Anolis sagrei: one gene and its partner. The protein of the gene in region 1 purifies or fractionates together with the protein of each later gene. This does not show direct contact. Links are inferred from orthologs where the notes say so. Each region holds a gene or a part of one and is shown on either strand. Other genes may lie near its edges.

Region 1 (7,510 bases):
TCTTCCTCTTGGCACAGTTCTCTCTTTTGCCCTCCATTCGTGCCTCTTCAAATTCTATAGCACTGCTGGTCACAGCTGACTTCCAGCTGGAGCGCTCAAGGGCCAGGGCTTCCCGGTTCTCAGTGTCTATGCCAGAGTTTTAAAGGTTGGCTTTGAGCCCATCTATAAATTTCTTTTCCCGTCCTCCAACATTCCATTTTCCATTCTTGAGTTTGGAGTAGAGCAACTGCTTTGGGAGACGGTGGTCGGGCATCCGGACAACGTGGCCGGTCCAGCGGAGTTGATGGCAGAGGACCATCGCTTCAATGCTGGTGGTCTTTGCTTCTTCCAGGATGCTAGCATTTGTCTGCTTGTCTTTCCAAGAGATCTGCAGGATTTTCTGGAGGCAGTGCTGATGGAATCGTTCTAGGAGTTGCGTGTGATGTCTGTGGACAGTCCACATCTCGCAGGTGTATAGCAGGGTTGGGAAGACAATAGCTTTATGAACAAAGCTGTTGGGATCCAATTTTCCTATGAGTAATAACCCAAAGTCTGCAGAATAATGGGAGTTGCAGTCTTACAGGATTTTTCATCTTCTCTGCAAAGGACAACTCCCAGGATCCCATCGCACTGAGCCAGAGGAGCTGCAAGTGGGGCCAAACCGCATTCATTCCTCATGTTGTACTTTGTTCTTTCTGGATGGCACATTGGAATTATTGAGATAACAAAACGGTTGGATTGATCTGATGCAAGTTCCTATTTGAAACATGCCTGGCAATAACCCTGATCTAGTTACTAGAAAAGGAAAGTGAAAATCCCTTGGGCTGGAGAAGGCCCCTGCCTTGCCCAACCATATTTCTAGTCTTCCAGGCTGAGGAAGATGGGAGTCCGAGAATCCGAGAGTCGGAAGGGGTCCCCAAAGGTCATCCACTCTAACCCACTTCTGCCAGACAGGAAAGCATAATCAAAACCTTCCCAACAGATGCCCATAATAGTAATAGTAGTAAAAATAGAACTATAGAATCCTAGAGTTGGAAGGGACCTCAGGGGACATCTAGTCCAACTCCAATCTACAATGGAATAAAAGCACAATCAAAACCTTCCTGACAGATGGCCATCCAGCCTCTGTATAAATAATAAGAGTAATAATAATAGTACTATAGAATCAAAGAGTTGGAAGGGACACCCAGGGGACATCTAGTCCAACCCGAATCTACAATGGAATAAAAGCACAATCAAAACTTTCCTGACAGATGGCCATCCAACCTCTGAAGAAATAATAATAGTAATAATAATAGAACTATCGAATCTTAGAATTGGAAGGGACACGCAGGGAACATCTACTCCAACACCCAATCTACAATGGAACCACAATCAAAACCCTCCTGAGAGATGGCCATTCAGCCTCTGCATTAACAACAGTAATAATAATAATAATAATAATAATAATAATAATAATAATAATAATAGAACTACAGAATCTTAGAGTTGGAAGGGACCCCAGGAGATATCTAGTTTAATCCCAATCTACAAGGAAGTAAAATCCTCCCAATAGATGGCCATCCAGTCTAAATAATAATAATAATAATAATAATAATAATAATAGAATGCTAGTTTTGGGAGGGACCTGAAGGGCCACCCATCCCATCCTTCTTTCTGCCATTATGCAGGAAAAGGATGATTAAAACCCTCCCAACTGATGGCCATTCAGCCTCTGCATACTGATGATGATTATAATAAGGTTGTGTAAATAATAATAATAATAATAATAATAATAATAATAATAATAGAACTGTACAATCCTACAGTTGGAAAAGTCACCCCCTCAAGAGCCTTCCAGCAGAACCCCCTTCTGCCATTCATAATAATAATAATAATAATAATAAGCCATTATGCAGGAAAAACACAATCAAAGCTCTCCTGGCACCAGCCTGTGTCTGAAATCTATATCATAGAATGCTAGAGTTGGAAGGGACCCCAGGGGCATCCAGACCAACCCCTTTTTTTCTGCCATTATGCAGGAAAGGCACCATCAAAACCCTTCTGACAGATGGCCATCCAGTCTCCGCATAATAATAATAATAGTAGTAATAATAATAATATCCTAGAGTTGTAAAGGACCCCAAAGGCCACACATCCTAAGATGCTTCTTTCTGCCATTATGCAGGAAAAGAACCATCAAAACCCTCCGGACATGTCCATCCAGCCTGCATAATAATAATAATAATAATAATAATAATAATAATAATAATAATACCAATAATAATAATAGAAGACTAGAGTTGGAAGGGACTCCCAAAGGTCATACACCCAACACCCTTCTTTGTGCCATTATGTAGGAAAAGCACCAACAAAACCTTACTGACAGATGGCCATCCATCCTCTGCATAATACTACTACTACTGCTAATAATAATAATAGAATACTAGAATTGGAAGGGACCCCAAGGTCCACCCATCCCAACCCCATTCTTTCTGCCATTATGCAGGAAAAGCATAATCAAAACCCTCCTGACAGATGGCCATTCAGCCTCTGCATCATCATCATCATCATCATAGAAGGCTAGAGTTGGAAGAGACTCCCAAAGGTCATCCACCCAACACCCTTCTTTGTGCCATTATGCAAGAAAAGCACCAACAAAACCCTACGGACAGATGGCCATTTATCCTCTGCATACTACTACTACTACTACTACTACTACTAATAATAATAATAATAATAATAGAATACTAGAGGTGGAAGGGACCCCAAGGGCCACCCAGCCTGACTTTCTTCTTTCTGTCATGAAACACCATCAAAACCCTCCTGACAGATGGCCATTCATCCTCTGCATACTACTACTACTACTACTACTACTACTAATAATAATAATAATAGAATACTAGAGGTGGAAGGGACCCCAAGGGCCACCCAGCCTGACTCTCTTCTTTCTGTCATGAAACACCATCAAAACCCTCCCGACAGATGGCCATCCAGCCTCTGCAATCATAGCAACACTCACCATGGCTGCTCCGGAGGCGAAGAGACTGAAGGTCCTCCGTCCTCCTTCCTCCTCCTCCTCCTCCTCCTCAGTCTCCTCCTGAGTCCGCCCCCTTCGCCCTCCTTCGTTGCTTGGACCCTCCCCTTGCTTCCCTCGGGAAGGAGGGCTTTCTCCCGAGAGGCTGGATGGCCGTCTGTAGGGAGGGCTCGGACTGTGTCTTCCTCTATGGCAGGAAGGGGCCCGACTGGATGGCCTTGGGGGTTCCCTTCCCACTCTAGGTTGTAATGATTCCACGATGAAGTAACAGAATTGTTGGGAAAGGGGTCTGTTCCTGGTTTGAAGGTGTTATTTCCTGTTTCATGGTACAGTCCTTAATTTTGAAACTTTGTTTTAGTTGCACAGACTATGTTGCATTGGTTGAAACTAGAGGAAATATTCACTGGAAAACTAGAGTAAAACCAGATCATCCAGATTATTTGCTTTGAACTGGATTATATGAGTCTACATTGCCATAAAATCTATATCATCAAAGCAGTTAATCCAGATTATCTGCTTTGAACTGGATTATATGAGTCTACACTGCCGTAAAATCCAGATTAGCAAAGCAGTCAATCCAGATCATCTGCTTTGAACTGGATTATACGAGTCTACACTGCCATGAAATCCAGATTATCAAAGCAGTTAATCCATATTATCTGCATTGAACTGGATTATATGAGTCTACGCGGCCATAAAATACATATTATCAAAACAGTTAATCCAGATTATCTGCATTGAACTGGATTATATGAGTCTACACTGCCATAAAATTAAGATTATCAAAGCAGTTAATCCAGATTATCTGCATTGAACTTGATTATATGAGTCTACAGTGCCATATAATCCAGATTATCAAAGCAGTTAATCCAGATTATCTGCATTGAACTTGATTATATGAGTCTACAGTGCCATATAATCCAGATTATCAAAGCAGTTAATCCAGATTATGTGCATTGAACTTGATTATATGAGTCTACAGTGCCATATAATCCAGATTATCAAAGCAATTAATCCAGATTATCTGCATTGAACTAGATTATATGAGTCTACATTGCCATAAAATCCATATCATCAAACCACTTCATCCAGATTATCTGAATTGAACTTAATTATATGAGTCTACGCTGCCATATAATCCAGATTATCAAAGCAGTTAATCCAGAAAATCTGCATTGAACTGGATTATATGAGTCTACGCTGCAATATAATCCAGATTATCAAAGAAATTAATCCAGATTTTTTTTGTCATGTCAGGAGTGACTTGAGAAACTGCAAGTCGCTTTTGGTGTGAGAGAATTGGCCATCTGCAAGGATGTTGCCCAGGGGATGTTTTGATGTTTTATCATCCTTGTGGGAGGCTTCTCTCATGTCCCCGCATGAGGAGGTGGAGCTGACAGAGGGAGCTCATCAGCGCTCTCCCCGGATTTGAACCTGCGACCTGTCAGTCTTCAGTCCTGCCAGCACAGGGGTTTAATCCACTACACCACCGGGGGCTCCAGTTAATCCAGATTAATTGCATTGAACTGGATTATATGAGTCTACACTGTCATAAAAATCCAGATTATCAAAGCAGTTAATCCGGATTATCTGCATTGAACTGGATTATATGAGTCTACACTGCCATATAATCCAGATTATCAAAGCAGTTAATCCAGATTAACTGCATTGAACTGGATTATATGAGTCTACACTGCCATATAATCCAATTCAAAGCAGACAATCTGGATTTAATATGGCAGTGAAGAAGGGGCCTAAGAAAGGTTAGATATATGTAAACATAGCTGTGCTAGAAATAGCAGAATGGAAAAGTCACTTGTCAAAAGAGGCTATTGTTTCCTTTGCAGGGCATCCTGTTCCTCTTTCCTTTTGGCTCCCTTGCGCTTCCTCTTCCTCTTTTCCTTCCTGTTTGGGGGCCCCTTGTTTCCTTTCTTGATGCCTCCCTGCTTCCGCGACCCCTTAATACAGTGCCTCACGTTGTGGTGACCCCCAACCATAAAATTATTATTATTGTTACTTCCTAATTGTAATTGTGTCGCTGTTATGAATCATAATTTAAATATCTGAAATGCAGGATGTATTTTCATTCACTGGACCAAATTTGGCACAAATACCCAACCACAGCGCTCCATGCCGTCATGTCAGCCACATGACCTTGGAGGTGTCTATGGACAACACCGGCTCTTTGGCCTAGAAATTGACCACCAACTGCCAGAGTTGAACACGACTGGACTTAATGTCAGGGGAAAACTTTTACCTTATCTTACCCAATATGCCCAAATTTGAATACTGTTGGGGTTGGAGGGAGAATTCATTATGTCATTTGGGAGTTGTGGTTGCTGGGATTTATAGTTCACCTACAATCAAAGAGCATTTTGAACTCCACCAATGAAGGAATGGGACCAAACTTGGCACACAGAACTCCCACGACCAACGAAAAATACTGGAAGGGTTTGTTGAGCATTGACCTTGAGTTTTGGAGTTGTAGTTCATCTGCATTCAGAGAGTATTGCAGATGGATCTGGACCAGGGGCTGCTCAACCCATTACGCAAAGTAAGCATTTACAGTATAGTTGATTTTGCCCAGGGGCGCTGTTGAGGCGCTCTTGGGGGAAAACAGACCTTGACATATGCGAGTTGTAGTTACTGGGATGTATAGTTCACCTACAATCAAAGAGCATTCTGAACTCCACCAATGATGGAATTGAACCAAATATGGCATGCAGAACTCCCACAACGAACAGAAAATATATATCAGTGATTGGTTGGGGGGGGGGGGGGCAAAATACTGTTTGCTTTTAAAAAAATATTTAAAAACTCTATTTAAAAACTCTAAAATTACAACAGCAAAACAGCAGAGAGGAAACAACCAGGTACATCTTAACACCTCTCAACAAAAGATTTTCCCAGGCTCAGCCAAGCCTTCAAATGCTAATGAAGGTGGTCAGTTGAAACATTCACACCTAGCTCCAGCAGAGAAAAGCTCTTTGCCCCACCCCAGCCATTCCACAGATATATAAACCCATTGTCCTAATTCCAACAGACCTCACTACCTCTGAGGATGCTTGCCATAGATGCAGGCGAAACGTCAGGAGAAATGCCTCTAGAACATGGTCCTATAGCCCGAAAAAACCCACAAGGACCTGTTTGCTTACCGTTGGGAATTACCTAGGGCCGCCTCTGATCTGGACCAAACTTGGCACAAATACTCAATATGCCCCAATTTGAACACTGGTGGACTTTGGGGGAAATAGACCTTGACATTTGGGAGTTGCAGTTGCTGGGATTTATAGTTCATCTGCAAACAAAGCACATTCTGAACTCCACCAATGATGGAATTGGTCCAAACTTGGCACACAAAACCCCCATGACCAACAGAAAATACTAGAAGGGTTTGGTGGGCATTGACCTTGAGTTTTGGAGTTGTAGTTCACCTACCTCCATAAAGCACTATGGACTCAAACAACGATGGATATGGACCTAACTTGGTACGGATACTCAATATGCCCAAATGTGAATACTGGTGGAGTTTGAGGTGAATAGATCTTGGCATTTGGGAGCTACTGTGATGTATAGCTCCCCTGCCATCAAAGAGCTCGGAAGGGTGTGCGGGGGGCCGGGCAGAAAGGCTGCCCAAATGGCAAGGCCGTGTGGGTAGTCCTACGCCTGGCCCCCGCGCCCTTCCGAACTCGGAACGGCACGGGTGCTGGGCAGCTCTCCCTTGCCCAAATGGCAAGGGTCAGTAGCTATTTTAGCAGGGCTGGGGCCAACCAAGGCAGCTTCGCGACCCCCCAAAATGGTCTAATGACCCCCCTAGGGGTCGCAACCCCCAGGTTGAGAACCACTGGTTTAAAAGCTATGTGACGTGAAGGACCAATTTTTCTCATTGTCTTTTTATGGACTTTGCTGCTCCCAGTGAATTTAGGGCCCTCCCAGCTCAAAAAAGGAGTCGGTTGTGATTTTCCACAGCAGAAAGAAACAGGTTTGAGTTTGCAAAACAGCTCTGAGTGCATTCTATTCAACAGAAAACACAATTTTATGGCCTTTTTAAATTGCTGTTCTCACCGAGTTCAAGGTTACCAGTTGTGCGCTCAGTGAGCCTCGTTTAGATCTCACTCAAGAGCAGGAAACAACAACAACAACAACAACATTTATCACATCAGAAGCAAACCGAGGGTACAGTTGTAATATATTTAAAAACACAAAGATAAAAAACTTGGCATTGTACTAAATGTCCTTTGACCATAATAATAGTAATAATAATAATAATAATAATAATAATAATAATAATACTTTATAATATTCCCAATGGCCAAGCGATCAAGTGTCACCAGCCAGAGGCCTATAAATATCTGGGCATACTACGGCTGGACAACATCAAACATGAACATGGTCAGCAAAGAATACATTCAAAGGGTCAGAAAAATTCTCAAAAGCAAGCTCAGTGGAGGCAATACCATCAAGGCCATAAATACCTGGGCCATACCTGTCATAAGATATACTGTTGACATCATA
Region 2 (8,230 bases), on another chromosome or scaffold:
CAATTTTACTAGCCAACACACTTCCCAATGTGTTGAATTATTTGATGCAACACAAAGTTGTCTTTCAATGAATGAAATATAGTCAAATTCAGAGAATTAAAAAAACCTCTCTTGCTATTGTAAAGATAATGATTACAAAACACAGGCTGACAAAGCCTGTCAATCCAACAGATCATTTTGGTGCCTGTGGGAACCAATGGCAATGCAAGGCCGAGCCTTGGGTAGATCACATAGGATTATGAGGCTATGGGTAGGAAAACGAAGGATCTTGAGGTCATAATTTCATCTGTTCTCCCAGTTCAAGGCTGTGACCCAGGAAGGGAGAGAAGGATAACAGAAGCGAATAACTGTATTTGCAGATAGTGCCAATAGAAACAAATTGACTTCCTGGTCTGAGGTTTAATAAAGTTGGACTTCTGGCAAAGGATGACTTCCACCTCCCAGAGGTTGGTAGAAATGTTTTTTGCTAGGAGCCTCGCACATTTGACGAGAAGGGCTTTAAGCGGAGTTATCTAGGAGAGTATTTGCATAGGCAGGAGTTTATCAAATCTTGGAAGCCAGGTTGAGTGTATCTGGGGAAAAATAAAGTGGAAAAGAAACTAAATGAGTGTTGCTGAGGTCTACAACAGACCTCCAAGCTAGACTGAGGACTTGGATAAGCAGCTCCATTGGCTGCCTATATGTTTCTGGGCCCAATTCAAATTGCAGATTATTACCTATAAAGCCCTATACGGTTTGGGTCCTGACTATTTATGCAACCACATCTCTGTTCAGACTTTAAGATTTGCTTTGGGGGAGGGGGGTCTTCTCATAGTCCCACCTCCATCACAAGCGCAGTTGGTGGGGATGAAGGAGAGGGCCTTCTCGGTAGTAGCCCACTAGCTCTGGAACACCCTCCTCAGGGAGATCAGGCAAGCTTCTATGCTTTGATGTTCCAGAAGGAATTGAAAGCCTGGCTTTATAAACAGGCTTATGGCAATAAAATGACAAAGGTTTCCCCTTGACATTAAGTCTAGTTGTGTCCGACTCTGGAGGTTGGTGCTCATCTCCATTTTTAAGCCAAAGAGCTGGCATTGTCCGTAGACACCTCCAAAGTAATGTGGCCAGCATGACTGCATGGAGCACCATTAAATATAATAACATCCAGCGGTTGATTTAATGGAAACAACTTTTAACTGGATTTTATTATCTTTATTTAACCAGACCAGTGACTGAGATGTTTTAATGGGTTTTAAACAACATAATTATTGTTTTATTGATGGATGATGGTTTGGTGTCAATTTAATATGTTTGTTTTCACTTTATATTGACTTTGTGTTGTTAATTTGTTGATTTAACTAGCCGCCCCCTGCCACGCGTTGTGTTGGGCCCAGAATGTGTATATGTGTTTTGTGTGTGTATATATTTGTGTATATGTGTATATATGTGGTTTTGCGCATGCGTTCTAATGTGGGTTTTTTTGGCCTTTAGTCTCTCCCATTGTGCTTTTCGGTGTTTTTATGAGTGATGGTCACTCGTTGACCTGAGAGGTGTCTTGTATCCACATTTGGTGTCAATTCGTCCAGTGGTTTTTGAGTTATGTCAATCCCACAAACGAACATTATATTCGGTTGTTGTAGGTTTTTCCGGGCTATATGGCCATGGTCTAGAGGCATTCTCTCCTGATGTTTTGCCTGCATCTGTGGCAAGCATCCTCAGAGGTAGTGAGGTCTGTTGGAACTAGGAAAATGGGTTTATATATCTGTGGAATGACCAGGTTGGGACAAAGGACTCTTGTCTGCTGGAGCTAGGTGTGAATAGGTTCTTGTAGGTTTTTTTCGAGCTATAGGGCCATGTTCTAGAGGCATTTCTCCTGATGTTTCGCCTGCATCTATGGTAAGCATCCTCAGAGGTAGTGAGGTCTGTTGGAATTAGGACAATGGGTTTACATATCTGTGGAATGGCTGGGGTGGGGCAAGGAGCTCTTCCCTGCTGGAGCTAGGTGTGAATGTTTCAACTGATCACCTTCATTAGCATTTGAAGGCCTGGCTGAGCCTGGGAAAATCCCCTGTTGAGAGGTGTTAATATGTGCCTGATTGTTTACTCTCTGTTGTTTTGCTGTTGTAATTTTAGAGTTTTTTTTAATATTGGTAGCCAGATTTTGTTCATTTTTCATGGTTTCCTCCTTTCTGTTGAAATTGTCCACATGCTTGTGGATTTCAACGGCTTCTCTGTGTAGTCTGACATGGTGGTTACATTTTTATTTATACAGATTAATAATATGTGTTTACATTTTAGTAAAGCTGTAACCCCCCCCCCCCTTGAGCTTGTGAGAAGAGGCAAACAAGAAATAAAACTAAAACTATTATTATTATTACTACTAAGCATCTTGCATGAATAGCCGAAGCTCATTTGCTCACTCACTAGGCACCTTGCAAGAGCAGCTGAAACTAACTTTTTGAACCATCCAAGGATTGGTCTGGGAACAGAAGGGAGCCTGTAGTAGGAACTTTTTGGTGATGAGAGGAAACCATCAGTGTAGCTACGTGGTATAGTGCAGGCATGGGCCAACTTGGGCCTTCCAGGTGTTTTGGACTTCAACTCCCACCATTCCTCACAGCCTCAGGCCCTTTCCTTTCCCCCCTCAGCCGCTTAAGCGGCTGAGGGGGGAAAGGAAAGGGCCTGAGGCTGTGAGGAATGGTGGGAGTTGAAGTCCAAAACACCCGGAAGGCCCAAGTTGGCCCATGCCTTGTATAGTGTTTAGGCATTTAAATATAAGCTGCATCTTAGTCCCATAGACTCACTGCTCTGTGCCAGGCGCTGGACATTGGTGCTGCAGATCTGGATGATAGCGTTGAAATCCCGGGGCGGAAAGCCCCCGGGCCTGTAAGTCTCCAACGGCCCGTAAGACATGGTTGAAGCGGGAGCTCACGAAACCAGAAGCGCCGAAATCGAAGAAGAAGAGCCAAGCCGGGCAGCCACCACCTTGACCGCGACGCACGCGCAGAACGAAGGCCTGGCTCTTCCCCTCTCCGCGCAGGCGCACAAAATAAACCCGGAAGTGACCGCTTAAGTCGCAGGGCTTAGGCTGAGGGCGTGACGGGCAGTGGAGGAGGAGACATGTGCGCATGCGTCGCGCCGGGTGCCTGACGCGGGAGCGCTTCCTGGTTGCCATAGCAACGCAGTGTTGCGGCCTGGAGTCATTTCTGATTTTAGAGCCTGGTCATGTTTTTTTTTTAAATATACTAGTTTGGGCGTTGGCTGGATTATTTGAAAAAGTCAGTTTTTAATTGTGCCAAATGCATAAGATTATAGGTGAACTACAACTCACATCAAGAAAGGAGACCCACTACAAAAAAAGAGATTCCATCTGAACGTTAGGAAGAACTTCCTGACTTAGGCAGAAAAACGAAATGTAAAGATACAGAATGGGGGACGATGAGGCCTGGATTGGGAGCAGGACGTGTGAAAAAGATCTTGGAGTCCTCGTGGACAACAAGTTAAACATGAGCCAACAATGTCATGTAGTGGCAAAAAAGCCAATGGGATTTTGGCCTGTATCAAGAGGAGCCTAGTGTCTAGATCTAAGGAAGTCATGCTCCCCATGCTCTATTCTGCCTGGTTAGACCACACCTGGAATATTGTGTCCAATTCTGGGCACCAAACTTGAAGGGAGATGTTGACAAGCTGGAATTTGTCCAGAGGAAGAGGGCGACTAAAATGATCAAGGGTCTGGAGAACAAGCCCTATGAGGAGCGGCTTAAGGAGCTGGGCATGTTTAGCCTGAAGAAGAGAAGGCAGAGAGGAGACATCTGAACATGAGGAAGTGAGAAGGACGGCATATAAATGTCGTAAATAAATAAATAAACTTAATGACTGTGAGAGCCGTTCAGCAGTGGAACTCTCTGCCTCGGAGTGTGGTAGAGGCTCCTTCTTTGGAAGCTTTTAAACAGAGGCTGGATGGCCATCTGTCAGGGGTGCTTTGAATGCGATTTTCCTGCTTCTTGGCAGGGGGTTGGACTGGATGGCCCATGAGGTCTCTTCCAGCTCTATGATTCTATCATGCCTGGTTAACCCCGAGAAACTCCATAAGTACTTACTTACTTAAGCGATCCCTCGTTGTCCAAGTAGGATAATCATCCAGGGTGGGTCCGTAGGTGACTGTGGAGCCCTATTCTTGATCTGCATCATCTCCCGCAGTGAGGGCATTGGTTTCCAGGTGGAAGGCGGTCCCAGTCGGGGTTGGCTTGACGTGCCTTCCTCTTGGCACATTTCTCTCCTTCGCCCTCCATTTGTGCCTCTTCAAATTCTGCAGCACTGCTGGTCACAGCTGACCTCCAGCTGGAGCACTCAAGGGCCAGGGCTTCCCAGTTCTCAGTATCTATGCCAGGTTTTTGTGGTTGGCTTTGAGCCCATCTTTAAATCTTTTTTCCTGCCCACCAACATTCCATTTTCCGTTCTTGAGTTCAGAGTAGAGCAACTGCTTTGGGAGACAGTGGTCAGGCATCCGGACAACATGGCCGGTCCAGCGGAGTTGATGGTGGAGGACCATTGCTTCAATGCTGGTCCAGGTCCATCATCAGTGGAGGTCAACGTTTCTCTGGTTGCGGGTAATTTATTGTTATCGTTTACATGTGATTTACTGTCAAATTCTCTGTTTTGTTTATTTTGAATTGTTTAAGTCTATTTTTGTATTGTACAACATTAAATGTTTTCCTTTTATGTTGTGAGACACCCTGAGTCCCCATAGGGAGATAGGGTGGAATAGAAATTTTGTTTACTTAATTTTACTTAAGTACTTCTTCTGATGCTGAGGGGGTGCAACTTTCCCGAAGTTACCGAGCAGGCCCATCCAGGCAGACCCTATATCCTAGGATCTGATCCCAGGTTTTCTGCTTTAAACTGGATTATATGAGTCCACACTGGCAGATAATCAGGATTAAACATAAAACCTGGTATCAGTTCCTGGGATATAGGATCTGTCTGGAAGGGCCTTGAGTGGAGATTTGAACCTTGATTTTCAGAGTTATACTCTAGTGATCATACCACTACACCAGGGGTCCTCAAACTAGGGCCCGAGAGCCGAATACGGTCCTCCAAGGTCATTTACCCAGCCCTCGCTCATGGTCAACCTAAGTCTGAAATGACTTGAAAGCACACAACAACAACAACAACTAGTATTTCAATGGGCCCACACTTCCCATTGAAATACTAGTAAGTTTATATTTGATAAAATTGTTCTTCATTTTAATTATTTAATTGTTTTAAAGTGTTTTTTGCACTACACATAAGATATGTGCATTGTGCATAGGAATCCATTCATGTTTTTTCCCCCAAATTATAATCTGGCCCTCCAACAGTTTGAGGGACTGTGACCTGGCCCTCTGTTTAAAAAGTTTGAGGACCCCTGCACTACATCATGCTGCCTATTTAGCATTGCAGTTGGAGAATTTCATTTCGAAAGGAATCAAGCAGCAGAGGGCAGCAGCAGCCTCTGAAAGTTTGTGCACATCTGAAAAGGGTTAAGTGTACTTCCTTTCTTGTGTTTATTTTCATGTGCTTGCTAGTTTCAGAACAGCAGAAGCAGGTTCCAAGAGTATGCATTGGCTTAAGAAAGCTACTACCTACATGTGAGAAATAAAATCATCTCTAAAAATAACTAGGGCTTGTTCTAATATGTACACTACTATCACTTCAGCAGTGAACTGATTGCATTCTAAAGTTCAGGCTTTCATCAATGCATAAAAATTTGAAATATGCAGGTAGCTGCCTTGATTCTTGCCAACAAGTCAGTCCAGCAGTATACATCTCTAGCACTTGCAGGTGTTTTGTTAAGCTGTGGATCTAGAATAGGTCTTCAAAGTCACTTATGGACTCTTTGCCAAGGCTCTACTGTTGGAAGACTAGACCATGAGTGATCGCCTATAGTATAGTATTCTATAGGCAGTCCTTGAGTTGCATTCTTCTGACTTACAAGCAACTCATAGTGAAGAACTCGGGTGAGATAACAGGAAGTGAGAGAAATCTGCCCCTAGGAAGGGACATTCATTCCTAAAGTTATGGGGGGGGGGGGGGGGGGATGTGCCTCCACTGAAGCTTTATCGCCAATCCTTATTTCCACAATAGGCTCTTTTTTTTTTTCAAATTCCAATTATCACAGGGACCGAAAGTGAGGTGAAATCTTCTAAACTGGGGCACAGATAGCAAAACACCACAGGAGTGTTAACCCTTCCCTATGCTATTCAGAGCAAAAAGAAAATATAGATTTTTGGCTGGAGTAGCACTTTAAAAATGTACCTTTTCTAACTTACATTCAAATTCAACTTAAGAACAAACCTACAGACTCTATCTTGCTTGTAACTTGGAGACTGCCTGTATAGTTCTTCTGACTGACTGACCAGGAACGTCTTTCTAATCTAAGTTGATTTCAACTTATGTAACCATATAAATGAAAGACCCACAAGTTGTCATATGACTGGGTTGTTATGAGTTTTCCGGGCTCCATGGCCATGTTCCAGAAGCATTCTCTCCTGACATTAATCTGCATCTATGGCAAGCGTCCTCAGAGGTTGAGAGGTCTGCTGTAAACTAGGAAAATTGGGTTTATATATCTGTGGAATGTATCCAGGGTGGGAGAAAGAACTCTTGACTGTTTGAGATAGGTGTGAATATTGCAATTGACCACCTTGATTAGCACTTAATGGTCTAGCAGTTTCAAGGTCTGGCTTCTTACTGCCTGGGGGACTCTTTTGTTGGGAGGTAAATAGCCGGCCCTGATTGTTTCTTGTCTGAAATTCCCCTGTTTTTGAGTGTTGTTTTTTTATTTACTATCCTGATTTTAGAGTTTTTTAATACTGGTAGCCAGATTTTGTTAATTTTCCTGGTTTCCTCTTTTCGGTTGAAATTGTCAACATGCTTGTGGATTTCAGTGACTTCTCTGTGTAGTCTGACATGGTGGTTTTTAGAGTGGTCCAGCATTTCTGTGTTCTCAAATAATATGCTGTGTCCAAGTTGGTTCATCAAGTGCTCTGCCATGGCTGACTTGTCTGGTTGAAGTAGTCTGCAGTGCCTTTCATGTTCCTTGATTTGTGTTTGAGCGCATTTAATGGACTAGCAGTTTCAGGGTCTGGCTTCTTACTGCCTGAGGTAGACTCCTGTAGAGGTGAGAGGATTCCTCTTGTCCTTTGCTGAATGTAGCATTTGTTGGATTTTCTTAGTGGTTCTGTAGCTAGTTTGTAAGTTGTGTTTCTTCATCAGCTTCCCTGTGTGGTCAGTGGTTCCCTTGATGTATGGTAAGAACACTCTGAGGATGCCTGCCAGAGATGCAGGTGAAACGTCAGGAGAGAATGCTTCTGGAACATGGCCACACAGCCTGGAAAACTCACAAAAACCCAGTGATTCCGGCCATGAAAGTCTTCGACAATACGTCATATGATCAACAGCCCTGCTCGGCTCTTGCAAACTCAAGTCTGTGGCTTCTTTGCTTGAGTCTATCGGGCTGGAATGCGGTCTTCTTCTTTTTGTACTATCTTACCGTCTTTTCTAGTGAGTCATATCTTTTCATTATATGGCCAAAGTACCGACATTCTCAGTTTAGTAATCCAGGCTTTTAGGAAGAGTTCAGACTTGATTAGCACGCATTCATTTGCCTTTTTTTTTGAGCAATCTGCTATCTGTAAAACTATTCTCAAGCACATTTCAAAGGAGCGGATTTTCTTCCTATTAGCTTTTATCACTATCTAGCTTTCACAGCTGTACATAGAAATGGAAAATGCTATGGCATGGGCAATCTTAGGTTTAGTATTCAGTGATGTATCTTGAAACTGAAGGATCTTGTCTAGTTCTTTCATAGCTGCCCTTCCAAGTCCTAGCTTTCTGCCCCCCCCCCCCCCCCCCCCGTATTATCCATTCTGATTAATGACTGAGCCAAGGTGTGGAAAATCTTGAACTATTGAAACATCTTCATAATCTACTTTAAAGATATGTAGATCATCTGTGGTTGTTTTATTTTTTGCGTTCCACTGTAAACCTACCTTTGCACTAACGTCTTTCACTTTCTTCAGTAATAGTTCCAAGTCTTTGCTATTTTCTGCTAGTAATATAGTGAAATGCTGTAAATGCTCCCCTCTTATCCCTCTTTAGAGCCTCCCAGTGGTTTGATATTTCCTATTAGCCACCCCCCTCTTTTAGACTCATATCTGCACTTTAAACTGTAAGTTTAGTTTGTTTTTTAAATATCTGCACTTTAAAC

The links.
Region 2: the proteins of VAMP5 (region 1) and STX12 purify together in Homo sapiens (affinity purification with mass spectrometry; 3 studies listed by BioGRID and IntAct, with this or other methods). This does not show direct contact. The link is inferred for Anolis sagrei from reciprocal best matches to the Homo sapiens genes VAMP5 and STX12.

The regions. Positions count from the first base shown.
Region 1 is NC_090027.1:22,925,030-22,932,539, reverse strand, and holds the start of VAMP5 (vesicle-associated membrane protein 5), read right to left. Parts: upstream 3,183-7,510; 5' UTR 2,984-3,182; coding exon 2,981-2,983; intron 1-2,980. UniProt on the Homo sapiens protein: May participate in trafficking events that are associated with myogenesis, such as myoblast fusion and/or GLUT4 trafficking.
Region 2 is NC_090034.1:86,897,505-86,905,734, reverse strand, and holds the start of STX12 (syntaxin-12), read right to left. Parts: upstream 3,032-8,230; 5' UTR 2,893-3,031; coding exon 2,784-2,892; intron 1-2,783. UniProt on the Homo sapiens protein: SNARE promoting fusion of transport vesicles with target membranes. Together with SNARE STX6, promotes movement of vesicles from endosomes to the cell membrane, and may therefore function in the endocytic recycling pathway.